Elephas maximus indicus: one gene and its partners. The protein of the gene in region 3 interacts with the protein of the main gene of each other region in a biochemical or structural test. Links are inferred from orthologs where the notes say so. Each region holds a gene or a part of one and is shown on either strand. Other genes may lie near its edges. The genes, in order: FBL, HABP4, PRMT1 and UBAP2L.

Region 1 (7,436 bases), about 12 Mb from region 3:
CTTCTGGAAGTTTGTTTTTTTTTTGTAGAGGGCCCTTCCACAAATACACTGGTTTCAAATCAGCTCTCCTCCCACAGCCTTCCCCAGTTCAGCAAACAGCAACTCCATCCTTCCAGTTACACAGGCCCAAACCCTTAGCTATCCTTGACTCCTCTCATACCCTCCATACAATCTGTGGGTTTCTACCTTGAAAATATATTCCCAATCAGTCCCACTGCTCGGCCACGTCCACTGCTAACACTGCTTCAGGCCGCCACCATGTCCTTCCTTCAGGGTTACAGTAGCAACCTCCCACTGGTGTGCCTGCTTCAACTCTTGCTCCCTTCTAGTCTCTCTTCCACACAGAAGCAAGGCCAATCCCTTAAGAAATACTAATCAGACTGTACCCCATCCCTGCTCAAAGTTTACCAAAGGCTTTCTCTCTCACTCAGATTACACTCTTACTAACAAGCTGGCTCCTGACAACTTCTACAGCCTCACATCCTACCATACAAGGCGGAAGAGGCTGGGCTGGGGTAGAAAGTGTATCCACCATTTACAGATGACAGGATGCCTGCAGGCATGCCAGAATCTCACTGAGATGCCTGGCCTAGCACCACCCCCCAATCCACCCCATCAGATCCCCAAATACTAAGAAAGGGAGTTTGGGAGGGGAGCATGGATCCACAAATTTCCCCCTTCCCAGATGACACCATCTCCTTGACATCCAAAAAAAAAAAGGAAACAAAAAGGAAAACCTGTGCTTAAAACAACAAGAACAAAAAAAGGGCCCTTCTGGCCATGGGTAGGAGATTGATCAAACCCAGTGAAGCAAGTTCTCTCATGGGGGGAGGAGAAGGGGGATGGGCCTGAGGGGAGGGGCAGAAGCTGAGACAGCAGGCATAAGGACCTGTTATGGATTTAAGTGCGTCCCCCCAAATTGTGTGTTGTAAATCCTAACCTCTCTACCAATGCTATAATCTCATCTGGGAATGAGATGTCTTTGCTATGTTGAGACAGGATTAGTGTAGGGTGTGTCTTGGGTCAATCTCTTTTGAGACATAAAAGAGCTTCAGCAGGAGAGAAGCAGAAATGGGGGATGAGAGATGCCAAGCCACATGAAGACTGCCCAGGAGCAGAAGTTCAAAGAGACAAGGACCTTCACCGCAGCCGACAGAGAGAGAAAACCTTCCCCTAGAGCTGGCACCCTGAATTTGAACTTCTAGCCTCCTAACCAAAAAAAAAAAAAAAACCTGTTGCCATGGAGTCAATTGCGACTCATAGCCACCCTACAGGAGGAGCAGAACTGCCCCATAGGGTTTCCAAGGAGCAGCCGGTGGATTCAAACTGTGGACTTCTTGGTTAGCAGCCGAGCTCATTAAAGCCACCCACTTGTGGTATTTCTGTTATAGCAGCACTAGATAGCTAAGACAGGACCCTAATTTTATTCTCCTTGAGAATGGTAACAATGAAAGCCAAGATACCAACACTAAGCAATTATGCCAAGCGTTGTTTCAATTTTACAGGCTCTCACTTAATCCTGACCGGGCGTAATTTTATTAATGAGAAAACCGAGTCTCGAAAAAGTAATGCCATTTGCCCAAGGTTACACCAAGAGATTAATAAGCAGAGCCAGAGATGAAACCTTGAATTGAGGCCTGTCTGCTGTCAAAGCCAAGACTTCCACCATTCCATCATGAGAAGCCGTGATGGGTTCATCAGAATTCGGGAAAACCGAATGAATAAAACCATTCTCTGTGACTAGCTCCTGTTCCCCGCCCCTCCCACCAGTTTTGGTCTTGTGGAGTTTCACTTCACCGCGGAGTTGGGAATCAGCAGGCCCACAATCTCCCCTCCATCCCCAGCCACCGGCTCTCGGGAAGACTAGAGAGCGGGAAAGTGACTCAGAGCGGGCTGCAGACTATCAAGCCGAGCGGAGATCCTCATCCACTCCCGGCGCTCTCCGAGAAGCCGGGTGGGGGGTCAAGGGGATGGTGGGGGCAGACAGAGAAGGCAAACGGAGAGCCTCCCACATCCAGCTCCCGGACCCAAAATCTGAGACTGCCCATCCCCGACCCAAAACGGATCCCCATAAACCACGCCCAGAGAGAGCCAAGACCTCAGGTGTCTGCATCCAGACTGAGCCAAGCGGCGCCCCCGGTCCAACATCCTGGACGCCTAATGACGGTCCGAATAAGGCAAATCCCAGTTCAGGACCCCCCAACCCCAGGCCCAAGACCCTCGACACAAGCTCGCGACCGCCGAAGCCAGTCCCAAACCCCACACCAGGAACCCGCCCCCCGGGCTCAGGATTGATCCCAGGGAGGAACCAGGCTTCCCGCCTCACACAAAACCAGAACCCCAGCCCCACACGAGACCGGATCCCAGGTTCAGAGCCCCTGCCCCCACGCCAAGGCCCCGCCCCCCAATTCCGGTCCGGCATCCCGACTCCAGCCCAGTCCCAGTCCCCGAGCCCAACCCCAACCCCGGCCTGCACCTGGCCTCATGGTGAGCGCTGAACTGCGCGGCTCCCAAGTCTGCGGCGACCCCGACTCCACGCGTCTCTGGCTTTCGCACGTGGAAAGGAGCGCAGGCGCGCGGCGACGCACGGTGGTGACGCAACCACGCTGCCCCGCCCCTCGGGGCCTCTGCGGCGCCTGTGGCCCGGCGCGCGCGCGGTGGGCGGGGATTCCCCAGGCTTCTGGCGACGACGCGCTCTTTGCTCTCCAAGCCTTTGCCTGTGATTACTTCCCTGAACAAGCTTGCTCCATCTGCGCGGCGAGCATCTCCGTAATCAGGACTCAAACGGAGACCTTCGCATGGACTGTGGCCTCTGCCCCTATTCCTAGCTCACTCTCTGAGGTTCCCCTCGACACCCAAAAAGCCTTCCCTGCCCAATTTCCACCCTCAAGAACACGGACCCCCGTTCGTATATTTGAAAATTGTGATCCTTGTATGTACCTGGGACGGTTCCAGGCTCTGGAAATTCAACAGTGAACAAAACATCAGAACCCCCGGCCTCCTGGAGCTCATCCTCGGGGTGGGAAGCGGTGGAAGGAGCGGGGACAGACATCAAACAAGTTAGTAAAACATGTTGAATGTTAACCAAAAATCAAACTTGTTGCCGTCTAGTCGATTCCGACTCAGCGACCCTATAGGGCAGAGTAGGACCGCCCCTAGGGTTTCCAAGGAGCGGCTGGTGGATTCGAACTATCAACCTTTTAGTTAGCTGCGAAGCTCTTAAGCACTGCACTACCAAATCTCAAAAATTTCAAAAGCTACCAATAAATCTGCCTGCCTTGGCTAACAACACAAATGTTAGCAGGCAATAAATGCCTTGGAGGAAATACGGACTGTTGGAGTAATATTTTTATAAGATGGTCAAGGAAATAAATGTATCTGTGACTTCTGAGTAAGGACCTAAAGGAGGTGAGGAATGAGGGACACACCTGTTTGGTGAAGGAGTTCCAGGCATGGATGTACCGCACTTTAACAATTCACCTGTTGAAGGGCATGGAGATTAATTCCAGTGTGGGGCTATTACCACTAAAATTACTATCCAGTTCGTCTACACGTTTTTCTGTGCCTACACGTTTTCATTTCTCTGGAATAAATGCCCAAGAGTGCAATTGCTGGGGCATATGATAATTGCATTTTTAATTTTATAAATTACTGCCAAATTGTTTTCCAGAGAGGCCGTACCATTTTACATTCCCACCAGCAATGTATGAACAATCCAATTTCTTAGCATTCTTGCCAGCATTTGGTGGTGGTACTATTTCTTATTTTAGCCATTTTGATAGATGTGTAATGATACCTCATTGAAGTTTTGATTTATACTTTTCCTGATGGCTAATGATGTTGAACAACTTCTCATGTGTTCATATGCCATCTGTATATCTTCTTCCATTAAATGTCTTTTCATGTCTTTTTCTCATTTTATAATGCCATCGTTTTTGCTTTTCTACTGTTGAGTTTTGAGAGTTCTTTATATATTCTAGATACTAGTCCTCTGTTGGGTATATGGTTTGTAAACATTTTCTCCCAGTCTGTAGCTTGTCTGCTCAGCCTCTTCACATGGATTTTCACAGAGTAAAATTTTTAATTTTGATGTGGTCCTATTTATCAAATTTTCTTTTTATGGATTATAATTTTGGTGTCAAGTGTAAGACCTCTGTGCCTAGCCCTACATTCTAAAGATTTTCTCCTCTGTTTTTTCCTAAAAGTTTTATGTATTTACATCTTACGTTTAAGCTTAAGATCCATTTTGAGTTAATTTTTATATAAGGTGTGAGGTTTAAGGTTAATTTTTTTTTTTTTTTTTGCCTATGTCTGTTCAGTTGCTCCAAAACCAGTTGTTGAAAAGGCTGTCTTTTCTCCATTGACTCGCTCTTGCACCTTTGCAAAAACTCAGTTGAGCATATCTGTACCATCTATTTCTGAAGTCTCTATTCTGTTCCGTTGATCTATGTGTCTGTCACTCTGCCAACACCACATTGCCTTGATTGTTGTGGCCTTCATATCAGGTACAGTGCTTCCTCCCATTTTATTCTTCTTCAGAAAAATTATTTTTAGTTATTCTAGGGCCTGTGGTTTCCATGCGAGGTCCCTGGGTGGCACAAATGATTTGCACTCGACTACTAACTGAAAGGTTGGTGGTTCAAACCCACTCATTGGTGCCATGGAATAAAGGCCTGGTGAGTGACTTCCATGAGGATTACTCTATGAAGCAGGTCTATTCTGTAACACGTCAGGTTCCTGTCAGTTGGCATTGACGTGACAGCAGTAGGTTTTTTGATTTTGGTGCCTTTCCATATAAATTTTAGAGTAAACTTGTCTATTTCTTTAAATAAAAAAACCTTAATAGGTGTAAGAATGGCATCCGGGCATCAAATCTCCTCGTCTGACTTCACAAGGAGGCAGGTAAATCATTATCAGCATCAACAGCCAAGGGCTGTGAGGTGGAGGTCAGACGTGCCTCCACCCACCAACATTTGTACCAATTCTGACGCCAGCTGTCCCTCCCACGGCGCTCGCTACTTCTCTGCTGGCTTCAGTAATTCATTGCAATGGCCACACAGAACTCACAGACCATACTCACACTTACGGGCTTTATTAGCAAAGTAGCAGGTTACACTTTAAGTGTTGAAAAAACGTTTTAAAGATATCACCTTGAGGACTAAAGTGCACCTGACCCAAGCCATGGTGCTTTCAATCACCTCATATGCATGCGAAAGCTGGACAATAAATAAGGAAAACCAAAGAAGAATTGATGCCTTTGAATTGTGGTGTTAGAGAAGAATATTGCTTATACCATGGCCTGCTGAAAGAACTAACAAATCGATCTTGGAAGAAGTACAACCTGAATGCTCCTTAGAAACAAAGATGGCGAGACTATGTCTCACATACTTTGGACATGTTATCAAGAGGGATCAGTCCCTGGAGAAGGATATCATGCTTGGTAAAATAAAGGGTCACTGAAAAAGAGGAAGACCTTCAACAAGATGGATTGACACAGTGGCTACAACAATGGTCTCAAGCATAGCAACAATTGTGAGGATGGCGCAGGATCACCCAGTGTTTTGTTCTGTTGTGCACTGGGTTACTACGAGTTGGGACTGACTGGACGGCACCTGACAACAACAATCATTTTGTAGGCATCACAAAACCATGGAGAAAGAGGCCATATAAAAGCAGTTCGTTGCACAGCAATAGGATAGGGGATAATTGACATCTTTATTAGTGCCACGGTAACCGTGCTGGTCTAATGGTTAAGTGCTACGGCTACTAACCAAAAGGTTGGCAGTTCACATCCACCAGGTGCTCCTTGGAAACTCTATAGGGCAGCTTTACTCTGTCCTGTAGGGTCGTTATGAGTCAGAATCAACTTGACAGCAACGGGTTTGGCTTGGTTTGGTTTTGGTTTTATTAGTGGTGCAGGACTGGGCATTGTTTCGCTGTGTTGCATATAAGGTTGCCGTCTTGGTTATCTAGGGCTGCTATAACACAAAAACCACAAATGGATGGCTTTAACAAAGAGAAATTTATTCTCTCACAGTCTAAGAGGCTTGAAATCCCAAGTCAGGGTTCCAGCTACAGAGGAAGGCTTTCTCTCTCTCCATGGGCTCTGGCGGAAGGTCCTTGTCACCAGTCTTCCCCGGTTCAGGAGTTTCTCAGCACCGGGACCCTGGGTCCAAAGGACATGCTAATCTCCTGGCTCTTATTTCTTGGTGGTATGGGGTCGCCCTGTCTCTTTGCTCACTTCTGTGTTTTATATCTCAAAAGAGGTTGACTTAAAACACAACCTAATCTTGTAGAACTCAAATTGACTACATCTGTGGAAAGAGACAATGGAAAAGCTCAATATCATCAGTTAGAACAAGGCCAGGGGCCGACTTTGGAAAAGACCATCAATTGCTCATATGCACGTTGAAGCTGAAACTGAAGAAAATCAGAGCAAGTCCACGAGAGCCAAAATATGACCTTGAGTATATCCACCTGAATTTAGAGACCATTTGAAGAATAGATTTGACACATTGAACACTGGTGACTGAAGACCAGACGAGTTGTGGAATAACATCACGGACATCATCCATGAAGTAAACAAGAGGTCATTGAAAAGACAAGAAAGAAAGACCAAGATGGATGTCAGAGGAGACTCTGAAACTTGCTCTCGAACGTCTAAAGCAAAAGGAAGAATTGATGAAGTAAAAGAACTTAACAAGATTTCAAAGGGCCTCTCGAGAAGACAAAGTATTATAATGACATGTGCATAGAGCTGGAGATGGAAAACCAAAAGGGAAGGACACGCTTGGCGTTTCTCAAGCTGAAAGAACTGAAGAAAAAATTCAAGCCTCGAGTTTCAATAGTGAAGGATTCCATGGGAAAATACTAAATGACGCAGGAAGCATCAAAAGAAGATGAAAGGAGTATACAGTCATTATACGAAAAAGAATTAGTCAATGTTCAACCATTTCAAGAGATGGCACGTGATCAGGAACCAATGGTACAGAAAGAAGAAGCCCAAGCTGCTCTGAAGGCATTGGTGAAAAACAAGGCTCCAGGAATTGATGGAATATCAACTGAGATGTTTCAACAAACAGATCCAGCGCTGGAGGTGATCACTAGTCTATGCCAAGAAATATGGAGGACAGCTTCCTGGCCAACTGACTGGAAGAGATCCATATTTACGCCTGTTCCCAAGAAGGGTGATCTGACCGAATGTGGAAATTATAGAACAGTATCATAATATATCACGCAACCAAAATTTTGCTAAAGATCATTCGAAAATGGCTGCAGCAGTATATTGACAGGGAACTGCCAGAAATTCAGGCCGGTTTCAGAAGAGGGTGTGGAACCAGGGATACCACTGATGATGTTAGATGGATCCTGGCTGAAAGCAGAGAATACCAGAAGGATGTTTACCTGTGTTTTATTGACTATGCAAAGGCATTCGA
Region 2 (7,380 bases), on a different chromosome or scaffold from region 3:
TATTATTTTTTTTAAGAATCACCTGGTGATCTTGTTAAACTGTAGATTCTCATTCGGTATATGGGGGGGGCGGGAATGCAAATCCTCAGCAGGGAGGGCTTTGAACTGGAACAAACTGGTTTATAGCCCTGTTTTGAACTCTCCCAGTGTTTTCTGTGAATTTAAAGCCAATCTGGAAGATTTTAGTGTTTTATTTTATTATTCCCAATGGAACTCATATGTTAAATAAACTCAAGGTAATTTCCATTTTGTATGCAGTTCAGCTTAACTATTTCCACTGGTGGTAATAAACAACTACAGTGGAAGGGCAGCCATGCCTCACTGCTCCTTTGGTATTATAATTACTAAAGATTGTTTTCATATATTAGAAAGAGCAGTCTAACCACGTTAAACACCGTGCTGCAAATAACTCATGCTAATGTGATGGAGCTGTATTTCAGGAATGCATTTAAGGGTACAATCTCCCAGCAGAAAGTGGTGAGTTAGAACAGGTGAGGCTGCTTAGTGAGTTACCACCAGTAAATTCTAAAGTAATCAACAGCTCCATAAGAAATCCTTGGCCAGCTAATACCCAAACCAAACCCATTGCTTTTGAGTTGATTCTAAATCACAGTGACCCTACAGGACAGGGTAGAACTGTCCCATAGTTTCCAAGGAACAGCTAATGGATTCGAACTACCAACCTTTTGGTTAGCAGCCTTAATGCTTAACCACTGCATCACCAGGGCTCCCTATTTCAGTGTTTTTTAAATCTGTTCTGGGAGCCCTGGTAGTGCAGTGATTAAAGTGCTGGGCTGCTAGTTGAAAGTTGGCAGTTGGAACCCACCAGCAGCTGTGTGGGAGAAAGATAAGGCAGTCTGCTTCTGTAAAGATTTATAGCCTTGGAAACCCTACGGGACAGTTCTACTCTATCCTATAGGGTCACTGTGAGTTGAAATTGACTTTAAGGCAGTGGGGTTTATAAAGGTGTTCTGAGAGGTCCCTGGGTGGCACAAATAGTTTTCACTCAACTATTACCCTAAAGGTTGGCGGTTTGAACCCACAGAGAAGGCCTGGAGACCTGGTTTCATAAACATTACAGCCAGCAAAACCCTGTGGAGCAGTTCTACTCTGACGCACATGGGATCGACATGAGTTTGAATCTATTCAAGGGGAACTGGTTAACCCTGAAGCAACCAGAACTGGCTCACTTGGAACTGTCTTAGGAGGTTGTGATTTAGAAATTAGGACGGAGTGCCTAATTTAAGTGCATGCTTTAAGAAATTGCTAGGGTTGACTATGCTGGAGAGAAAATAGGAGGAAAGCAGGGGAATGGCCTAACTCTGGATGTCCAGTAGGAAGATGACAGGCCCTTGTCCCTAAGTAGCGATGGTTCCTTGGTGCTGTGTCTTAAAGATGCCAGAGACCACCAGTGGCAGCAGAACGTGGAACTTGTTAGAAATGCAGATTCTCGGACCCTGCCCCAGAGCTACTGACTGACTCAGAAACTCTGAAGGGTGCTCAGCAAGCTTTGTGTTTTACTCACCGTCCAGGTGATTCCGATGAAGAATCTTTGTAAGTGTCATTCGCCTTATGATGACAAGGAACCATTATGGCTCTACTTGGTCTTAAGCCTGATTCAAAATGATGATAATGTTAATAATAATGATGGCAACTACTAATCCGCTTTCTGTCTCTACAGGTTTGCCTATTCTGAACATTTCATATAAATGGGCTCCTATAATATGCAGCCTTTGTGTCTTTTTTTTTCCACTTAGCATGTTTTCAATGTTGATCCATATTATTTCACGTATCAGTACTTCATTCCTTTTTATGGCCAAATAATATTCCAACACATGACTATATACCATTTGGCTGATCCACTCATCTGTTGATGGACATTTGAGCTGTTTCCATCTCATGGTTATTGTGAATAGTGATGCTTTGAACATTTGTGTACAAGTTTTTGTTTGAACACCTGTTTTTGATTGTTTAGGGTAAAAAGTAATCTGTGCTGACTCAAAGAAGTAGAGAACCAAATATCTTAAAATCATCACATTCAACAAATATTTTTGAGAACCTACTATGACAGCTTAGAATGCTAAGTACTGGGAATACAAATTGCAATGTATCAGGCATCATCCCTTCCCTCATTTGGAATGGCATAAAATTGAATGAGTAAAACACAGACCTGGCAGCAGTTGGGACAAGGGTTCCTCTGCTGCTTGCTATGAAAAGAAAGTGAAAGCTGGTTATGAAGCACCTGAGCAAGGTCTTCTAACAGGATACTTTTAGATGCAAGAAACACAACTAAGAGTAGCTTAAGCAATGATGGCATTTATCATCTTACATAATAAGTCCAAGGTAAGAACATTCCCAGGGAGTCCCTGGTGGTGCAAATGGTTAACATGCTTCGCTGCTAACCAAAAGGTTGGCGTCCACCCAGAGGTGCCGTGGAAGAAAGGCCTGGTGATCTACTTCCAAAATATCAGCCATTGAAAACCTTACGGCGCACAGTTATGCTGTGACACGTGAGTCAGAGTTGACTCAGTGACAGCTGGTCTTAGGGAGGTTCCCTCTTGGCTAAGTCAGCAGCTCAACAACATCAAGGGTGTAGGTTTTTTCTGTCATTCTGCTGGGCCATCTTCAGGGTATCAGCCAATTCCCTCATGCTCTAATAAGGGACAGCAACTCTAGGTATAATGTTCTCACATAACAAGGACCAAAGAACAGAAGTGTGGAAGAGGGCAGATCCCTTCACCCAGTCCCTTCTTAGAAGCAAGAAAAGCTCTCTCAGAGTTCCCCTTGATGTACTACTTCTGAGGACTGTTCTACCACATTTCACATAATGAGCCTGGCAAGGGAATGGAATTACAATGTGTGATTTAAGATGAATCACGTTTGAGACTGGAAGGGGGCCCAACTTCCCCCAATACCTGAACAAAATACCAGTTCTGTAAAAATGTAAGCAGAAGAGGAATGGCTGCAGGACAGGCAGCCAAGATTGTCTCCACAGGAGCCCTGGCAAGATTTCCTGGAGGGAATCCAGTCAAGTGTTCTCCTCTGTGCACCAGGCCTCAACTGAATATCTCAAAAACAAAACAAAACTCAAACCTCAACGTGTCGAAGACTGAACTCATGATTCTCATCAAAGTGGTCTCTTCCAGTGCTCTCTTTCTTTACAAATAGCACCGCCCTTCCAGCTGCCCACTCCAGAGAAATGAGTCACTGTACCCTCCCTCCTGGTTCATCCCCCTTATCTAGGACATCACCAAGTTCTGTTGATTTACCTCCAAAATAACACTTCATTCTCTTCTAGTCACACTCTTCCTCTCCCCCCACCACACTGCCACCAGCCTGGTCCTTGTCACTATCGTCAGCTTTCCTGGACTTGTGTAATAATCTCTGCTTGGTCTCCCACACGTGTTCTGACCTCCCCACAACCTATTCCTTTACAATGCAGTTGGAGTGGCCTTTACAAATAAAACTCTGACCATGCTTAAAACTTGCTTCCCACTGCTGCTAGAATAAAGACCAAAACAAGGTCCCTGCTGACCTCTCTCCCACTCTACATTCCAATTACACAGGCTTTCCGCGAGCTTGAATGTACACTGCTCCATCCCACGCCAAAACTTTGCTCCTCGCCATCTTTCAGACCTCAGCTTAACCGTCACTTCCTAGAGAAAGCCTTGCCCCCCAAACCAAAAAGCAAACCCATTTCCGTCTGGTCAATTCCGATTCATAGCGACCCTAGAAGACAGAGCAGAACTGCCCCCATAGGATTTCCAAGGAGCGGCTGGTGGATTCAAACAGCTGAATTTTTGGTTAGCAGCCAAGTTCTTTACCCACTGCGCCATCAGGGCTCCTTCTTCGCTATAGACGCCTGGAGAACTTGGAGCCTTCCCTTCGGGACACTTTTCCCAGTTTGTAGGCTCTAAGTTCCTCGAAGACGCGGACCTGGGATCTCTGACAACATAGTGCCTGGCACATAGTAAGTGCTCAAGAAGTAGCAGTTGAATGGCTAGATAAATTTATATAATCTTCGAAGAAGACAGACTGAGAACGAATATGGACCGAGTTTCAAAGAGAACAGACGTGACAGCTGGAACCAAACCGCCTCTCCAGGCGCCCTGGACCACAAGTCTCCCTTTCTCCCCCCATAGCCCCGCCCCCTGGACCCCGCCTTCCCTAGATGAGGCGGAGGGGCGGGGCATAGAGGTCGCATGACGAGACAGCAGCTTGTCAGTGATTGGGCTACCAGGCGCGCCGGCTAGGAAAGGGGGCGTGTCCGCGCGCGCTGATTGGCCCCCCGGCGGCGGCTGGGCGGGCTGCGGCGGCGGCGGCGGCGCGGGGGTGGGCGCCGGGCGGGGAGGGGACCGGGCAGGGCAGGGAGGGCGGCGGCGGCGGCGGCAGCTGGTGGGATGGGTCCTCGCCGCCGGCTTCGCTGAGACTCGCTCGCGTGGGCTGCCCGCGGCGGGCCCGCAGTGGCCGCGGCGGCATGAAGGGCGCCCTGGGGAGCCCCGTGGCCGCCGCCGGCGCAGCGATGCAGGAGAGTTTCGGCTGCGTCGTGGCCAACCGCTTCCACCAGCTGCTGGACGACGAGTCGGACCCGTTCGACATCCTGCGCGAGGCCGAGCGCCGGCGCCAGCAGCAGCTGCAGCGCAAGAGGCGCGACGAGGCGGCGGCAGCCGGGGTCGGCAACCGCGGCGGCAGGAGCCCCGCCGGGGCCTCGGGTCACAGAACCGGCGCGGGCAGCGGCCGGAGGGAGTCCCAGAAGGAGCGCAAGAGCCTCCCGGCCCCTGGCGCGCAGCAGCCGGACAGCCCCGGGGGTGGCCAGCAGCTGCCGGGTACGCACGTCCCACCGGCACCTGGGCGCCCCCGGGTGGGCGCGGCGGGCGGGAGAAGAAGGAGAATGGGGTCACTGAGGTCACCCTCTTCAACTTTCCTCGACCCCCACTGTGAGGCTGGGGTCCCAAAAACTATGTTCCAGAAAGGGAAGGGGACTCTGGGGAATGTTGGGGTGAGCTAAGGGTCTTTGTGGCAGTGGAAAGTAGGAAAGAGGACCAGAATGTGGGGCGGGAGGTTCCCACCGCTTCTGGCCTTTCCCAGCCCCTTCTGTGGGGGAGGGGGGAGATAGGGGGGTCTCGAAACCCCGGAAGTGAGCCCTTAGATCAAGTTGGATAAAGTTGAGGAATATTGCTGGGGCGTGTGAGGGCTGCTACCCCGGGGGTCTCACATCAGAGCCAGCAAGGAGCCCAGCCTCTGCAAGATTGTGCTTTGGAGGCAGAAAGAGAAGCGTAATGGGAAGGAGAGAGGGGAGTCCCTCTTAGATGAGGGTGGCGGGGAGAGAGCACCCAGCCCGCTGGAGGTGGTGGTGAGAGACTGGGATGTGTGGAAAATGGTAGGGAGGCCGGAGTGAGGGGCTGCCTGGCCTCGGTGATGGAGTGAAGGCCTGGTGACCGCGTGGGGCCCGGCTGTGACGTCAGGGCCGCGAACGAGCGAGCGTGCTGGTGAGGTGGCCGCGGGATCCCCGGCTCCTTGCAAGCTCTCTTCATTTAACGCATCCCCATACACAAGCTTCTAGTAGTCTGCAGGCATCGGTTTTTAGTGCATCTGGTACTGTTGTTGATGGGATGTGTAACTTGTAATTAACTCAAGGCTGCTTTAAGAAAATCCTTTTTAACCTTTTCAACGATATTCAAGGCTCCCTCCTCCCTGTTTAGCAAGAAGGGCCAGTGCAAACCTTGTGCACTACTGTGTGTGTACAGGGAGTGTACTTCTGAGGTCATTTCTCTCCCTGCAGCTGACAACAGTGGCATAATCAGCAAGATGCCACCTGTGTTTCCTCTGTTTTCCTGAAATAAGGCAATGGTCAGTTCCAAGGTTTGCAGAAAAATGCTGTTAAGATTGAGATGTGTAGTTTGACCTCTCCACCCATCACATGGCAGTGTATTCAACTGGGTTTATTGACTTGTTCCACTTGATAAAAACTAGCTACCCTGAAAGAGCACCTGCTGGTTCAAATATTGGGGCTTTGACTTGTGGACGTAGGTAATGATTTACCTTCTTTATCTGTGTCCAGTTCGTAGTCGTCATTTGAGAATCAGAAAATTAAGTCAATACAATAAAGGTGTTAGAAGTTAACAAAAATGCTGTTGGGTCACAAGGCCTCCTGATAGGCCAGGAAGTTCATGGGCTTATTTATAGACAGCAAGACTTGAGCTATAGTTTATGTTTTGTTTTATGTTCTCTGTTTTCTTTTACATTTACTTAGGGGTAAATATAGTAATAAATTAAACACTTAGGAAGGCTAATCTTTTCTGCTCCCTGTTTCTAACAGTGGTGTGGAACTGCATTTAGTGATATCTACTGATGTATTTTTTCTTAGGCCTCTTACAAATGAAACATCATCTTATAAAAAAAAGTAAACAGCTCAGAAATGTATAAAGTGAAAAGCCCCTATTTTCCCTCCTGTTAACAACTTGTATCTATAGTTGCACAGAACTTTTTTTCCTTAACTTATATAAACAGTTGCAAATGGCTACCTTCACTTGACATTGTAGCCTATTACAATCTGTAGTTGATTTTGTAGTTAGAATGAAAATCTTATCATTCTAGTTCTTTTTCAGTGTATATTATTGGAGGAGCAAACAGCTAATTAATTCCTGTGTATGTAGTTACTGGACTAAATTTGTCTGTAATGGTGTTAGCTACTCTCTCAAAGCTTTGTAGCCCTAACTGACATAAAGTACTATATTTTTCTAATTCAGAATTTTTAATTTAGTTAGAATATTATAGGTGAATGCTTAGTGTGGACAAAAATCAAAGTTTAAACGTGTTCAGCCATGTTTAGGAACATTTATTAATCCCCAAAGGATGTAGAAATCGTAAGATTCTCCCATGGAAACTTAGGTTTTTAATATCCTTGACTAGCCATCTAGCAATGCACCCAGGCCCTGTGTTCTGAACCTTGCTAAATTGATTCATTCTTCAAGTCTCCAGAGGCTGCGTCAGCTCTGCTTTCCTAGCCTTTCAGAACTGTGGTCTTTGAGCCAAATCTCAGTTTTTATTTTGCAGGAACCTCACTGTAAATTTCATTGTTTTTGGTCCCTTCACATGGGCTTGGGCTGAGGTCTGAGATGGCACTGGTCGTGCCAACTGCTTACTGGGAAGGGCCAGTGATGTGCAGTGTTTGCGGTATCCACTTGGAGCCGCTGATCCAGCAAAAGAAAACAAGCCAGCTTCAGCCGCAGTCTTGAGCTCTTAATACTAAATTGTGAGGGGGAAGAAAAGTGGACCCCTGTTTTCCTTTGTTTCTTGTATTTTGGAGAGAGAATGAAATGTTTTCAGGGAGTTGGCAATATAATGATCCTAATAAGTAAAAAAAAAAAAAAAAAAAAG
Region 3 (7,625 bases):
GTAGTAATCTTTGGACGTCATGTCCTCGGCGTTGGGCTTCTCGCTGCTCTCTGCCTGGCCACAGGAGACCTGGGAGAGGGCGGATGGGAGCATGGGTCAAATCTGGGGGCTCCCTGCAGCCTCTCAAACCTCCAGGTTCCTACTTCTGCCTGGAGCATGTAGACTCCACCAAAGGCTTACCACGGCAACCCTACAGCCCCCTCTGCCATTTCGCCTCCCCCAGGAACCCCAAACCCCATTTTCCTCTTCCAGGCCCCCCGAGAGCACCATCCAGGAGGGCACCCCGATACCTCAGCCACGCCTACCATCTCTCCAGTCTCTCTGCCCCCGTCTCTAGCTCAGCCCACAGCTGGGGAGGGGAGGGGAAGGCAGGGCTGGGGCAGACACAGGGCCGGGGGGCAAGTGGGGACTGGAAATGGAGTTAAGGAAGTAGCCACGGTGTTGGGGAGGCCAGAGGGGGGCTACAAACCTGGAGGGGACCGTACTAAGTGTTTTTGGGGGCACGGGATAAACTAGTTTGCAGCAAGAGGGATCATGGTTAGATTGCTGGAAAGGCTGGACCGCCAGAAAGGGCCTGTCGGTGGCAAGCTAGATTGAGTTGGAGGTGAGGTGAGAGTGGGGAGGGGTCTCACAAAAGGATATTTACTTCTTCAAGAGGCGGCTGGAGGCTCATCCCATTAGCCAAGGTGGCTACAAAATTCTAGGAGAGAGTAACAGGGAGAAAGGATTAGCTACTGGGAGTGGCTGTGGGAGGGACAGGCCAGGGTCGGGGGTTCAGAACCAGGGCTCTTGGGGAGGGGGTTCCCTGCAATTTTCCTTTTTCTTGGTGGGGAGTGGTGACAGTGTGAAGAGGCAGGGCTGTTTCAAAAAGGGGTCAGAGAAGTGGGGGAGGCGGGTAAGGGGGTTCTCCTGTCCCAGCTGTGGCTGGAGAGATGGTGGCCCGCCCCTACACTGTCCCCTCCAGCCAGGCACTTGACCGCATACCTCCCCCACCCACACCAGAGAACCTGGCCCCCCGCCGGGCACACGGGCACTGCCAGCTGTCGTCCTCCTCCCTCTTAATCCCCCCAGATTAGGTGACACTTCCTGACACACATCCCCATCCTGGGGTGCCAGGAATAGCTGGGGGGCCTGGCAGAGTATGCCCACTGGGCAACCACCACCTCTGCACACCAGTCTCTCAACTGAGAGGGTTCCAGAAAGGAGGTGTGGCACGCAGACACCCCCACCAGAGCTGGTAACCCAGCCCCTAGGCTCCTGTCCCAGGTGCAGGAGCACAAAATAAAACCAATTAGAACCAAGCCCCTCTCTATGACCAGGAAGGCAGTGTCTTGGGGAGCCCGGACAGATTCTGGAGCCTCTTAGGAAGAAGATGGACCAAGATGTGGCTCCAAGAGTCAGACCCCCATCTTTCCCATTCAGACACCCATCCCAGGCCCCGAAGCCCCCCAGGTGTGGGGCCACGAGCTGAGGCAAGCCCCGGGGAAGGTTATTTGCTCCACCTATAGAGCTCTGGGTCCAGGAGCGAGCCAAGGGAGGTGGGGGCATTGGAGTGGCCTCTGGGAGCTGTCCTCCAGTGGTATGCATCTTGGGAACTGACCCTCCACACTCCAGAAAAGGCTATAAGATAGGGGGCTGGGGTACAGACGTTCCACCAGATAACACGTCTTCCAGATGTGACCACCCTCCCTCCAGGTTCCAGGAAGGGCCAAGTCACAGGCCATGAGCCACTGGCCGGTAAGGATGCCCATAAGGGCAGCTGGTGAGAAGATTTCCGACCCAGGCCCCATTTCCCAATACATCTGACACCACCACCACCAGACAACCCTGGCCTAAGAGGCCGCGGAACACAGGACTACTCTCCCCACACGGGTACACGAAAACCAAGCCTCACTGGAAACCATTTCCCTGCACCCAGACTCAGGACACCCACACAGGGATTCAGAAAGGGGGGTCGTCCGTGGGAAATGCCACAGGAAGAGAAAGGGTTCCAGTAAGCGGTAAAGCTTTGCGCTCATACCCTGTCAGATCGCCTTCCCAGCGTTCATGTGCCCCCTTTTGCCCGATAGGGATCCAAGGAAAAGGTGGGCTTCGGGACACGCCCCGTGAAAAAGCTGTCCCTCCCACACACCCAGAAATGGCCACAAGGGGGTGCACGGCACCTTATCTGGAAGGATGGCCTCCATCCCCCCACCCAGAGAGAGGTCAAAGGGGCATGCCCCATCCCCCAGCTCCTAAAGCCCTGGGCAAGGGGAAGAGTTCAGGGGCAGGAAATTGGGGCTGGAAGGAGGCCGATTCTTCTCCTTCCTCCAATCCCAACCCAAGAGGGCTCAAAACCTGGACCTGTGCCCCAAAAGATGCCCCGGAACCTGGGGAGGGGGTTGTACAGGGTCGGAAGGCACTGAACCTCACAGGAGATCCACTACATCGCAGTGGGCCCAGGTGAGTCCCACCCCCCCGGTGTATGTCCCGATTCCCGCGGACAGGGGTTCGGGGCCTTCGACGCAGGGTCGGAGCCTCCTCCCCGCCCCCCGGCGCCCCTCCCCCGGCTGGAGGCGGGGCCTTTGTCCCGCACGTGGAGCCCGCCGGGCATCCGGGCACGGCACACCCCCTCCCCACCACCCGGTCGTGGCCACGTGGGGGCTCGGCCGGAAGCGCCCCCAGCCCGCCTCCACGTGGGTGGGGGGTTGAGACCCCTGGTTCGGCCAGCTACCGCAAGGCCCCGAAAGCTAGGGAACCTCCCACCTCAAACGATATCCCCAGATCCGGGGCATGCGGCGCCGTCTCAGTGCGGCTGGGTACCTTCAGCCCCAATTCGCCGACTCGGAGCCCCTTCCCCCACGAAGGACCTTAAAACGCAGACCCCAAACCGCTTCCCGACCCCGGCGGCGCTCCGAGCTCTCACCTCCATGATGCAGTTCGCGGCCTCGGCTGCCGCCATCTTCACCCGCAGCTACTCCTCCTCTGGCGGCCGAGACCCCCCCTTTCTCCGCTTTCCCCCGGGACCGTCTTATACCGGAGGGTCCACGGCCCGCCCACCGCAACTCCACCAAGAGATTTCATTGGCAATGGGGGCGGCCCGTCTGGAAATACCGGTTAACAATTGGGTAAAGGCGATATCGAGCAAAGCTTAGAGGCCCGCCCAGTCTAGCGTGCAGGACCCCGCCCCCTCAGGTCGAACGGGATGGGGAAGACGGCCCGTCCATCGCAAGAAAACGGAGTGGTGATTGGGCGACGTCAACTAGAAGTTCCCGCCCCTTCCCCCAGCACCGCCTCTAAGCTTCCCGGCGGGCCCCGCGCTAAGCGGACATCTTGAAACAGAGCCATCCATCACCAGAACGGCCCGCCTCTTATCGCTGCCATTGGTTTATCCAGAGGGTGACGTCATGAGGTCTTTAGCTAGCCCTCGCCAACCTCAAGAAGAACACGGCAATTGGCCCCAGAGAGGGGAGGAAAGCCGGACTTTGGGTCCCAGCAATTGGCTCAAAGGAACTGTCACTCATCTTCCTTTCGGGGGTATTCTTCCTGCCGGAGGGGACTCTAGGAGAAAAAAGGGAAACTGTTTCCATTTACCTGGGGGAAAAAACTGAAGCAGAAAGAGGCCTAGAAAGAGAGCAGGTTTGTCTGGGGTCTCGAATCAAGTCAGACGTCAAAGCATTTAACTCCTAGCCGTCTACTTAACGGTTCTAAGTATTTTAAACACAACAACCCATCTGAAGCCTCTTGGCTTTTATCCGAGCCCGTCTCCCTGCCGGGAACAGCCTTTGTCTTACCGACTCCTATACATCCATCAGAGCCCAGCTTAGACACTACCTCCTGTGGAAGCCTTCCTTGGTCTGCAGAAAAACTAGTCGTTGAATGAAGATGAATTCGCCTCTCCTGTCACCTATCCCACTAACTCTCCTCAATCCAAACTTCTCTCCAGTCCCGGGATGAGCTCGCTCTAGTATCTCTGGGTCTATACCTAGGCTGTGGTCCCCGACATTCCTTCCTCCCTGGTGAACTCTTAGGTGTGTAAGGTTTCCAACATCACTTCACACTTACAGACACTCCTAACACCCACCATGACGCCCCCGCACTGAGGACGTCCTCTCACAGCCTCTCTTCTTCCCGGATGCCCAAATCAGGACAGCTCCACCTCCCACCGAGTCACCAGCCAGGGCAGTCAGCCCCTCGTTCCCTAAGTATGTCATTCCCCAGCCCTGCCCCTCCTGCCCTGACTCTCGGCCAGTACTGTCCTCGTCCTCCTGGACCATCGTCCCAGACTCCTCCCCTACCTCTCAGCCAACAGTTTCCATTCAAGTAACCCACATCCTCTTGTCCCCAGAGCTGACCCCGCCCCTCCTCAACTCAAAGACTTCCCTTGGCTCCCAAGCACCCCCAGGACAAGGTCCCAGCCCCCTCAGCGTGGTTAGCTGCCGCGATCATCTGCCTGGCCTCAACCACCCTCCCCATCACTTCTGCCCTAATAAGCCCCTCCTACGTCCCTGAGGGAAACCCTGGTGGTGTAGTGGTTAAGTGCTATGGCTGCTAACCAAAAGGTCGGCAGTTGGAATCCGCCAGGCGCTCCTCGGAAACTCTATGGGGCAGTTCTACTCTGTCCTATAGGGTCGCTATGAGTCGGAATCGACTCGATCACTGGGTTTGGTTTTTTTTTATTTTTACTTCCCTGAGCTCACACCTTTCCCACTTTTGTGCCATTGAACACCCCCTTACTTTGTTCTCCAGGGGAGAAGCTAACACTTCTTTATCCTTCAAGACAAACTCCTTACCACTTTGTTGTTATTTGTTGTTAGGTGCCATCAAGTTGGCTCTGACTCATAGTAACCCTGTGTACCCCAAAGCCAGTGCTGTCGACTCGATTCCGACTCATAGCCTATGTAGAATAGAACAAAACACTGCCCCAATCCTGGGCCATCCTCACAATCATTGTTATGCTTGAGCCTATTGTTGAAGCCACTGTGTTAGTCCATCTTGTTGAGGGTCTTCCTCTTTTTTGCTGACCCTCTACTTTACCAAGCATGATGTCCTTCTCCAGGGACTGGTCCCTACTGGTAACACCTCCGAAGTACGTGAGACGAAGTCTCGCCATCCTCGCTTCCAGGAAGCATTCTGGCTGTACTTTTTCCAAGACAGATTTGCCACTTTGTAGGTTTGGCCAAATATGGATCAAGCTTACCAACAGGCATTAATTAGTAGGCACTAGCCACCCTTCAAGGAGCTCTGTTGGCCCAATGGTTAAGGCACTCAACTGCTAACTGAAAGGTCTGTGGTTCAAACCCTCCAGCCACTCCACGGGAGAAAGACCTGGCAATCTGCTTCCATAAAGATTTACAGCCTTAGAAACCCCATGGGGCAGGTCTGCTCTGTCACATGGGGTTGCTATGAATTGGCACCTAACAACACAACAGCCTGGGTGGAGGGTGGCCACCCGTTGCTATCAGGTGGATTCCGACTTTATGGAAGCAAATTGCCAGGTCTTTCTCCCGCACAGCAGCTGGTGGGTTTGAACCGCTGACCTTTCCAGTTAGCAGCTGAGTGTTTTACCCATAGCACCACCAGGGCTCTTCCATAAAAATTACCATAAAGATTGCCATCTATGACTTCTTTCTGGAGGGGAGATGTGAAGGAAGAGACGGGCAGGCGCTGGCTGAACGAACACGGGGAATACAGGGTGGAGAGGAGGAGTGTGCTGTCTCATTAGGAGAAGAGCAGCTAGGAGTACATAGCAAGGTGTGTATACCTTTTTGTATGAGCGACTGACTTGATTTGTAAACTTTCACTTAAAGCACAATAAAAAAAAAAAAAAAGATTGCCATCTATTCAATTCTGACTCATAGTGACCCTATAGGACAGAGTAGAACTGCTCCCTAGGGTTTCCAAGGAGCAGCTGATGAATTCGAACTGTCTACCTTTTTTAGTTAGCAGCCAAGCTCTTAATCACTGCGCTACTAAGGCTGGCCGTAAAGATTACAGCCAAGAAAACCCTAGGGAGCAGTTCTACTCTGTAACACGTGGGGTCACCATGAGTCAGAACAGCAACGGGTTATGCCACTCTTCTAAAACTTTTATATAAATTCATTCATTTAATCCTCCCAGCAGTACATTGAGGTAGGTACTATCATCACCTCCATTTTACAAGAGAGGAAACTGAGTGAGGTAAAGTGACTTGGTCAAGGTCAAACTCCTAGCAAGTGGCTGACCGTGTTCTGATCACAGGATGTCTGAAAACAGAAATTCATTTTTTAGTTGTTGCTGTTTTTTAAAATCAACTTTATTGAAGGTGTAATTCATATAAAATAATAAGCACCTAATCACATGTAATTTGATAAGTTTGATATATCACATACATAGAGAGAGAGACAGCCTCTGTCAAGGTGACTCTGACTCACGGCAACCTTATGCACAACAGAAGGAAACTTTCCCTGGTTCTCATGATTGCCAGCGTGTTTGAGTCCATTGTCATGGCTATTGTGCTAATTTATCTCAGGATAAGTCTCTCTATCCCTTGCTGGCCCGCTCCTCCACCAAACACGATGTCCTCCTCCAGCAATTATTCCCTCTTGATAATATTCTGTGAAGGGGTCCAAAGTGAGTTGGACAATGTTCGGTTATGATCCACAGGGTTTTCACTGGTTAATTTTGGGAGTGAGACTTTGTCTCACATACTTTGGATGTCTTATCAGGAGGGACCAGTCCCTAGAGAAGGATACCATGCTTGGTAAAGCAGAAGGTCAGTGAAAGAGAGGAAGACTGTCAACCAGGTGGACTGACACAGTAGCTGCAACAATGGGCTGAAGCATAACAATGATCATGAGGATGGTGCAGGACCAGGCAGTGTTTCATTCGTTTGGACATAAGGTCACTATGAGTTGAAACCAACTCGATGGCAACTAACAGGAACAACAACATCATCAATTTTTGGAATAGATCGCCAGGCCTTCTTAGTCTGTCTTAGCCTGGAAGCTCCACTGAAACCTGTCTACCACAGGTGACCCTGCTGGTATCAGAAATAGTGGTGGCATAGCTTCCAGTATCCTAGCAACACACAAGCCACCACAGTATGACAAACTGACAGGTGGTGAGACAAGTACATTACCAACCAGTATGACACCTGGGTTCTCAGTTACTTTACCCAATTAATACAAAGATCTTTATGGAGCTGAATCTAATATTATGCAATAATACATCATTGCCCTCCGATGGTACCACTGAGATGTAATTCTAAATTCAGTAAAATAAACGAATCTTTAGGAAAGTAAAATGTGAAACACAATTTGTTCATTATATAAAGCCAAAACCAGACTCATTGTCATCGAGTTGATTTCAACTCACAGTAACCCTATAGGACAGAATAGAACTGTCTTCCAGGGTTTCCAAGGCTGTAAATCTTTACGGAAGCAGATTACCACATCTTCCTCCCTGAGAGCAACTGGTGGGTGGGTTTGAACCGCTGACCTTTCAGTTAGCAGCTGAGCACTTAACCACTGCACCACCTGGACTCCACATAAGGTACAGAAATACAAAACAAATTAGGAGAAATTCAACATCTGCCATCACAGCACTGGCCAGCACCTTGATTTAAGCTTTGTGAGACCCTGAGCAAGACACTGAGCTAAACTGCT
Region 4 (7,560 bases), on a different chromosome or scaffold from region 3:
TTGTTTTATTCCTTTCCAAAGAGGACAATTTTATACTTTTCCGCTCTATAGTTAATTTTTTTCTAAATGAAACTTTATACAGGGCAATTCTAGATTGCCCAAAAGCCACTGCTGGATTTGAAGGAGAGAGAGGGAAGGCTTCCAAAGAAATATTCAAAGATTAACTGTTAGTAAAGTGAATTTCACCTTGGACGTCACAGAGAAAGCTGACTTTCCTATGGATAAATCCTTCACCAAGTTTAGTCAATAGACTGTGTAGGTTTTTTTTTTTTTTTTTGGTTTTTGACATGGTCCTTAAAAACTAAGAGTGCTACATTCGCTATCACCAAGAAAGATTTTTAAGACAATTTCAGGGCTAATTTTTAACCATTAACTCTTCCCCCTACATATATGTGCACACAAAGGCCTGTAAATATTTCAGGCTAGTACAAGACTAATTGCTACACATTAACCCCTTTTCCTAGGCTATAACCAAGTTTCAACACTTAATTTACCAAAAAAAAAAAAAGTGTTGTTTAAGTACTTCCGGATCCGAATCAAAAAGAGAAAAATTTTAAGACTGGAGAAAAACTGTTATACTTTAAAATTAGTCCTATAAGTTTCTAATATGGAAATAGCCATTTCCCACTCAACCCAAATATTGACTGCTTTCTACTCCACGTGATTTCAATTCTGGAGAATGCATTATAATGCAGATATAAACTGCAGGGACAGCAACATATACTGTACCCAATCACATGTAAATATGTTAAAAAGTCATCTCAAAAGCCACATAATTGACTAGTAAATAAAAATCTTCCTGATAATCTTCCTATTAAATTCCATTTCTCTCTTAAAGTGCTTTGAAATGTGTGACTAAGAAAATTTTACCACCTAGGTGGTAACAACACTGAAAATCAGATTAAAAGCAAGTGATCTGGGATGGGCACTTGGAGGTACAGAATTGGCTGCCTTTTAGTAGCAAGCAGTCATATACCCAGAGTTATCACAGTGGAGGCAAGGAATCTTGTTTAAAACTCTCTGATACAGAACAAAAATATTTAAGGGAAATACGGTGAGAATTATTGGAGAACAGGGTATAGTGTGAGAGTAAATACAGGTTTCAACAGAAGCGTCCTTGACTAATTTATGAAAACCAGCTACTTAAAAAAATAGCCAGAGAAATTTTTACTGAAAAAAATAAATAACAAATATTTATTGAAGAACTACTATGTGTCCAGTACTTCAAGAAATACAAAAGCAGTATGATTTGGTTACTGCCCTCAGGGAGCTTACAATCTATTTGCGAAACAATTCAGAAACTCTGAAGTTCGACTGGAGTAGGGTAAGGCTTGGTGCCTTTAAGAAGCAACTTTTTTGGAGATGTTTTGTTTAAATGACCCCTGCATCCCCTTCCCCATCAACATAAATCTAGTAAGAAAAAAGTACTCCCCAGTTGGGACACACTTAGCAAGGAGAAGCTTTAAAAAACAAAAATAAAACAGTACATTTTGGGGCCTTTCAGCACGAATTTACATGCCAGCAGTATTTCCCGTTCACAACGGAAACAATCACTGGGATAGTCTAATCTTTAAGGACAATGGTGTAGGATCTCAAAGCACTTTTATCAAACGATACAGAGCCAAAACGTTTTAGTTCTCTGGTAACGCTCATTGTCACCGACCCTCAACACCTCCCAGCAAGTCACATCAGATATCCCCAAAGCAGGATATAGGGAGTGGAAAGGTGGGTGGGAAAAGGAGACAAAAAAGGGATTTCTACCTCTAAAAATCAGAGTAAATCAAAAAGCAAAAACGGTAACAACAACAACAAAAAAAAGCCTGTTACTGTGCTGTTCTTCTTTCCACAACACCCTGCACCGGAGGTGGCTACATTTCAAGAATGGTGGAAAAGAGGCAGTCTCCAGTTCATGACATCAGTTTTCGAAACAATTTAGGGACTGTCCAGGTGAAGGGTATGAAAAAATTTGGAATTCCTATCCCATTATGAGAAGAGTGAACAAATACCCCAATGCTCTAGTGACGTCCCTTAGGCAGAATACACCCTATGGAGGCCTCCATGTCCAGCTTCCCAAATAACATCATAATTGTTTGGGGTACCCAAAACTACAGTATGGGCGCCGTGAAGCTAAAGACAGCGGTAAAAATATATTACAAAAGCTGGGGCGGTGAGAAAGATGGAAGGGTATTAAGACGAGCTGACAAAGAGGGTGGAAACGAAGAGGGGACGCAAGCCCACGCGTGGAAGATGGAAGGCTCACCCCCCTCAGCGCCACATCGGGAACCCACGGGGCCCATCGGCTCTCTACCTCCCACCCCGAACAAATTAATCCCCCGCACTCCAAACTGAGGGCCACATGGGGGAGTTTGGGGCAGCTCCACCCCATCGCCCTCCCTCCCCCCCCGCCGCCCCTAAACCAAGCCGGATCCGGATCAGAGGAGGCCCGCAGAGGGTCGGAAGATGAGGCCCCTCGGTCTTCTCCACAGGCACCGATTCGTGGACAGAGAGAGCCCTACCTCAGGGAGAGCCCAGGCCTCGCTCGCTCGCGCTCTTTCTCGCTCTCCCCCCATCAGGCTTTAGCCGCATGCCCCCCCCTTCGGCTGCCCAAGCCCCGCCCCGGCCACGCTCCCAAATCGAGGCCCCGGCTCTGGCGCGGCCCACTAGGCCGCGAACCTAACCATAAACAAAACCTCCAGCGGCCGACTCGGGAGGGGGGGGGGGGTAGGGCTCGCACGACCAGGAATCGGGGTGTACAGTCGGGGGGGACACACGGCGTGGGGGGGCCTACCGAGGGAGGGGGATCTGGCGGGGATAGGGGAGAAACGAGGGAGGGTAAAAGGAGATCGCGGATTTAAAGGGGCCGCGGACAATACCCGGCCCCGCCGCGCTGCCACTGCCGCCGCCGCCGCCGCCAACGCCGCTGCGCTCCCAACTTTACCTCAGTCTCCTCCACACTGACACCCCGGGCCGCGCCGCCCCTGTCACGTGATATAAGATTCCCTCCTCCCCACCCCCTCCCTCCTTTTCCCTCTCGCGCTCGCTCTCGCGCCTTCCCCCTCCCACTTGCCTTCCTGCGTCCCCCAGCACGTGACGCGAAAAGGGACGCGCACGCAAGCGTGCGCGCACCGCCCCGCCACGAGACACCTCGCTCCGGCTCCGCGCGTCCTCCCCGCCTCCTCCACGGCGGCCCCGCCTTCACCACGTGATGCGCGGACGGCCTCCGCTTCCTCTTACTGGCGTAGTTCCGCGTCTCGGCCGTCGCCGCTCCCGGGTGCCATTGCAACCTGAGTCACGTGCCGGGGGGGGAAGCGGGAAGGCGTCGCTCCCCTCCCCCCCCCAGCCGCCATGTTTTCGGGCCGGGTCTTTCTTGGTCTTCCCCCATAAGGAAATGGCCGGAGAGCTCCGGGAAACCCAGGTGCCGTTGCCTCGGCGGAACCCGGGCTGACAAGGCAGGGCAACGGGGTAAACCAGAGCAGCTCTGTGCGGGGTGGGGAGGCCATGGCGTCCGGCAGTAACTGGCTGTCCGGGGTGAATGTCGTGCTGGTGATGGCCTACGGGAGCCTGGTGAGGAAATCCCCCCCCATTCCTGTTGTCGCGTCAGACCCAGTAGAGACCCTCCTCTTGAGCGGTTCCCTGTCCTCATTCTCCACCCACTCACCTGCACTTTTTCTGGGCTTTGACGCCTATCCCAAGAATACCTGGGACTTAAGTCACGACTAGGATTGCCCCGCCCCTGGCTGAGAACCCTCCCGCTAAACTCCAGAGCGGCAGTCCCCATGCTTCCCTCCACAGGCGTCCCCAAATCCACCCCTATGTTTGACGGCCTTGATTTGTCCCAGGTTTTACCTCAAAGCACTTCTGAGAGCCCAAATCGGGGGAGTTGAAGGCGTGACTTTTTTTTTAAACTGTCTTTGAAAGATTCTTTTTCTCATATTTTTTTGGGCAGGTGTTTGTGCTGCTCTTTATTTTTGTGAAGAGGCAAATCATGCGCTTTGCAATGAAATCTCGAAGGGGACCTCATGTCCCTGTGGGACACAATGCCCCTAAGGTAGGTTCTTAAGGCATACGATGGGGCTGGTTCTCCAGATCTTTTAGGAGCAAGAATGAGATTTCCTTGTTTGGTGTCCGGTTACCGTCGTGCTTTTCTTGGATGGAACAATAACTGTCACCTGTGAGATCTGACTTACTGCTCCTGCTGGGGTATAGCACTTAGCGTACCCATGAACCTTAGTTTTGGCATCTGCAGAATGAAGGGCTTGCATTAAAGTTCCCAATTCTTTGTGGTAAGGTGTTTTCCAATTCATCTTAAATTACACAGTTTTTATTGTTTGGTTTCATTTTAGAATGGGGTTAGGGTGGTTAGAATTAGCCTCAGAGTGATAAAAAGGTCTGCCTTTGCAGAAGTTTAGATTTATAAGGGCCCCATAAATCATCTAATGCTGCTGTTTATGCTACAAACTGAAACCCCAAAAAGGGAAGCAAGTTATCCAAAATATACAGCATGTGAATAGCCAAATGGCCTGTTATCTTCGTTTACACTCTCTTCTTAGGTGATTGAATTCTTTTTCTTGACTGCAAGTATCTACAGATATGGTGAAATTTTTATTTCTATTTCAAATCTCTTTTCTCTATTCTGTACTTATATATCCAGGTGCTTATTTGTCATGCTTACGTATATGTGTGATGTCATTGTTAGGTGCTGTTAAGTCAGTTTCAATTCACAGCAACCCTATGTGCAACAGAACAAAACACTGCCTGGTCTTGCACCATCCTCACAATCATTGCTATACTTGAGCCCATCATTGCAGCAGCTGTGTCAATCCATCTCGTCAAGGGTGTTCCTCTCTTTTGCTGACCCTCTACTCTACTTAAAAGCCAAAAACTAAATCCGTTGTAGGTGTCTGATAGGCATCTAAAACCTAACATTTCTAATTCAGAGCTCTACCGTTTCTATCTTGTTTCTTCAGTCTTCCACTTAGTATAGGCATCCGTTACGTTTCAACCTGCTTTTGTATGGCTGTTGCCTATGATCACTGCAGTTTAGCTACACTGGTGGAATTTCCCAGCTTAAAGGCATGTGCTATGACTAGAATGATTTTCCCCTGATCCACATTTGGCCATTTCATTCATTCTTTAGATTTTAGCTTATATGTTATTTCTTCAACAGAGGAGTTTTTATGTCTTAAAGTGGGTCTCTCCTTTTATTTTCTTATAGTACCCTGGTTTTTTTTTCCTTATACCATTCACAATATTTCTGTTATGTTTGTCTGTTTAATGCCTCCCTCGTCCACTAGGCTGTAAGCTTCAAGAATGCAGGCACCACGCCAGTTTTGTTCACTGCTGTAAAGTCAGGACCTACGCGTAGTAAAACCACTGCCGTTGAGTCGATTCCGACTCACAGTGACTCTGTAGAACTGGGTGAAACTGCCCCATGGAGTTTCCAAGGAGCTTCTGGTGGATTGGAACTGCTGACCTCTTGGTTAGCAGCCATAGCACTTAACCACTGTGCCACCAGGGTTAAATACTCAATAATTCATTGTTGAAAGGACAGCAGATTAGTTGGAGAACTAGGGCTAGTATATGATTCTTCCAACTCCTAGACCAGTGTTAATCTTTTATTAAGTTGCTATTACTCCGTCACACTGTAGTTCTTTACTGACATATCACCTGGAAAGACACAAGGAGGACGTCACGGCCTGAAACCTCTACAGTGCTCGTTCCACGTGTCCTCAGTTCATCAGATGCCAATTGCCTCTCATAAGAGTGACACAGAATTGATTTACCGTATATCATGAGTTAGTCAAAACTTTTATTTCTTTATAGATAAGATCAAGATTAATTTTTCTTTAAAAAACTCTTAACTAAATTCTAAGAAGTGGAACTTTAAATTAGTAAAACGACTTTAGAAAATAATTGGATTTTATTGAGTAAGATTGCACATGTACCTAATCCATGATCTAGCAATTCTACCATACAGAAATTAATTTTTGCTTATATGTACCAGTAGACAGGTATGAGACTGTTCATAGCACAATGTTTGTAATAATTTTTTAAAAACAATCCAAATGTCCACATTCAGGTAGATAAAGATGTATTTGTGTTCTGGAATATTTTGTAGGGATGAAGATACAGATCAACACAGATGAATCTCCAAAATATTTTTGAATTAAAAATGAGTGCAAGCATGAGTGAATCTCAAGAATATGCAGAGTGAACAAAGCAAGAAAACCTGACATAAAAGAATATGTGCCATATAAATCCGTTTATGTGAAGTTCTACAACAGGCAAAAGTATAGTCATACAAAGCACATTAGTGTTGCCTGGAGCCAACAGGGGAAGGATGACTGCAAAGGAGTATGAGGGGACATTTGGGGGTAGTGAAAACGTTGCATGTCTTGACTGGGATGGTAGTTAAACAGGTGTCTTTGTTAAAACTCAGATGTACACTTAAAATGGGTGCATTTTATCGTATGTAAATTCAACTTCGATTTAAGTTCGTTTAAAAATTTAAAAGTTGTAGAGAAATTTATGTATTCGTCTGTCCATATAAAGTTCAAAACCAGGTAGAGCTAAGCAACTTATTTAGGGTGACAAGTGGAAAAAAAAGTGAAGAAAGAGAACTGTTAACAAATGTAGGTTAGGGGTGGGGGGGACATCCAAGCAAGGATGAGCACAAAGGGCTTCAAAGTCACTGGTAATGTTCCATTTCATAAACTGGTACAGGTGTTCATTTTAATGGTTCTTATTCAAAATGTACACATAATACGCATTTTTTTTGTATATGATATATTTCACGGTGGAAGTTTTAAAAAAGTTGCAAGAAACTTAAATACAAGAAATTTCCCCAGACACTGGCAGTTGTTTGGGTAACAAAGAGGTGGATATGAAACCGGTAACGGTAGTTGCTTCTGAATAAGTTAGGGATGGCACCTTTAGTGCTTTTTGAATTTTATACTACAAATATAAATTATATATTTTAAGGATGTATTTTAGTTTTTTAAAGGAGCCTTTAGAGTCCTGTGGTACACCAGGTGGGTTAATCCTTAAGCTATTATATAGGTTGTATACAGGGCCCCTTCTTATAGATTGAGAGTGTATGTGACTTCAGTTGTTATGTATTTTTTCCCAACTCAAGAAATTCTTTATAATAGCTAAGCAAGATTCTAAGTCCAGTTGAAAGTGAGAAATGTCGATGCAGGTTAATGTTGTTTTGGCAGGTTAAAGGAGCTAGATGAGAGATACGGAGCTTCGAGAGTTTATTAGAGAACCCAATCCCATTCTTTCTTAAATTTTTGCATCTTATCTGATAGTTTCAGTAGCTACAATTTTCTCTGTTTCTGTTGTCGTAGTTGTTCACTTGCTCAGCTCCATTTCCAGATTGGTGGGAAACAGAGTGCAAGGAAAACTGATTGTATATTCTTTTCTCCACTTGAACAGGATCTGAAAGAAGAGATTGATATTCGACTATCCAGGGTTCAGGATATCAAGTATGAGCCCCAGCTCCTTGCAGATGATGATGCCAGACTGCTGCAGCTGGAAACCCAGGGAACTCAAAGTATG

The links.
Region 1: of the proteins of PRMT1 (region 3) and FBL, one has a biochemical effect on the other in vitro, tested with the Homo sapiens proteins (2 studies listed by BioGRID). The link is inferred for Elephas maximus indicus from reciprocal best matches to the Homo sapiens genes PRMT1 and FBL.
Region 2: the proteins of PRMT1 (region 3) and HABP4 form a complex in vitro, tested with the Homo sapiens proteins (2 studies listed by BioGRID, with this or other methods). The link is inferred for Elephas maximus indicus from reciprocal best matches to the Homo sapiens genes PRMT1 and HABP4.
Region 4: of the proteins of PRMT1 (region 3) and UBAP2L, one has a biochemical effect on the other in vitro, tested with the Homo sapiens proteins (2 studies listed by BioGRID, with this or other methods). The link is inferred for Elephas maximus indicus from reciprocal best matches to the Homo sapiens genes PRMT1 and UBAP2L.

What each region holds. Positions count from the first base shown.
Region 1 is NC_064829.1:111,675,907-111,683,342, reverse strand, and holds the start of FBL (rRNA 2'-O-methyltransferase fibrillarin), read right to left. Parts: upstream 3,013-7,436; coding exon 2,941-3,012; intron 2,637-2,940; coding exon 2,477-2,636; intron 1-2,476.
Region 2 is NC_064827.1:108,222,147-108,229,526, forward strand, and holds the start of HABP4 (intracellular hyaluronan-binding protein 4), read left to right. Parts: upstream 1-4,374; 5' UTR 4,375-4,477; coding exon 4,478-4,826; intron 4,827-7,380. UniProt on the Homo sapiens protein: Ribosome-binding protein that promotes ribosome hibernation, a process during which ribosomes are stabilized in an inactive state and preserved from proteasomal degradation.
Region 3 is NC_064829.1:100,126,600-100,134,224, reverse strand, and holds the start of PRMT1 (protein arginine N-methyltransferase 1), read right to left. Parts: upstream 3,012-7,625; 5' UTR 2,942-3,011; coding exon 2,906-2,941; intron 701-2,905; coding exon 647-700; intron 403-646; exon of another isoform or gene 309-402; coding exon of another isoform or gene 291-308; intron 70-290; coding exon 1-69. UniProt on the Homo sapiens protein: Arginine methyltransferase that methylates (mono and asymmetric dimethylation) the guanidino nitrogens of arginyl residues present in proteins such as ESR1, histone H2, H3 and H4, FMR1, ILF3, HNRNPA1, HNRNPD, NFATC2IP, SUPT5H, TAF15, EWS, HABP4, SERBP1, RBM15, FOXO1, CHTOP, MAP3K5/ASK1, MICU1 and NPRL2.
Region 4 is NC_064821.1:191,992,784-192,000,343, reverse strand, and holds the start of UBAP2L (ubiquitin-associated protein 2-like), read right to left. Parts: upstream 3,010-7,560; 5' UTR 2,939-3,009; exon of another isoform or gene 2,874-2,938; intron 1-2,873. Other genes in the region: C3H1orf43 (protein C1orf43 homolog), read left to right, coding at 3,499-3,564, 3,947-4,048, 7,438-7,555. UniProt on the Homo sapiens protein: Recruits the ubiquitination machinery to RNA polymerase II for polyubiquitination, removal and degradation, when the transcription-coupled nucleotide excision repair (TC-NER) machinery fails to resolve DNA damage.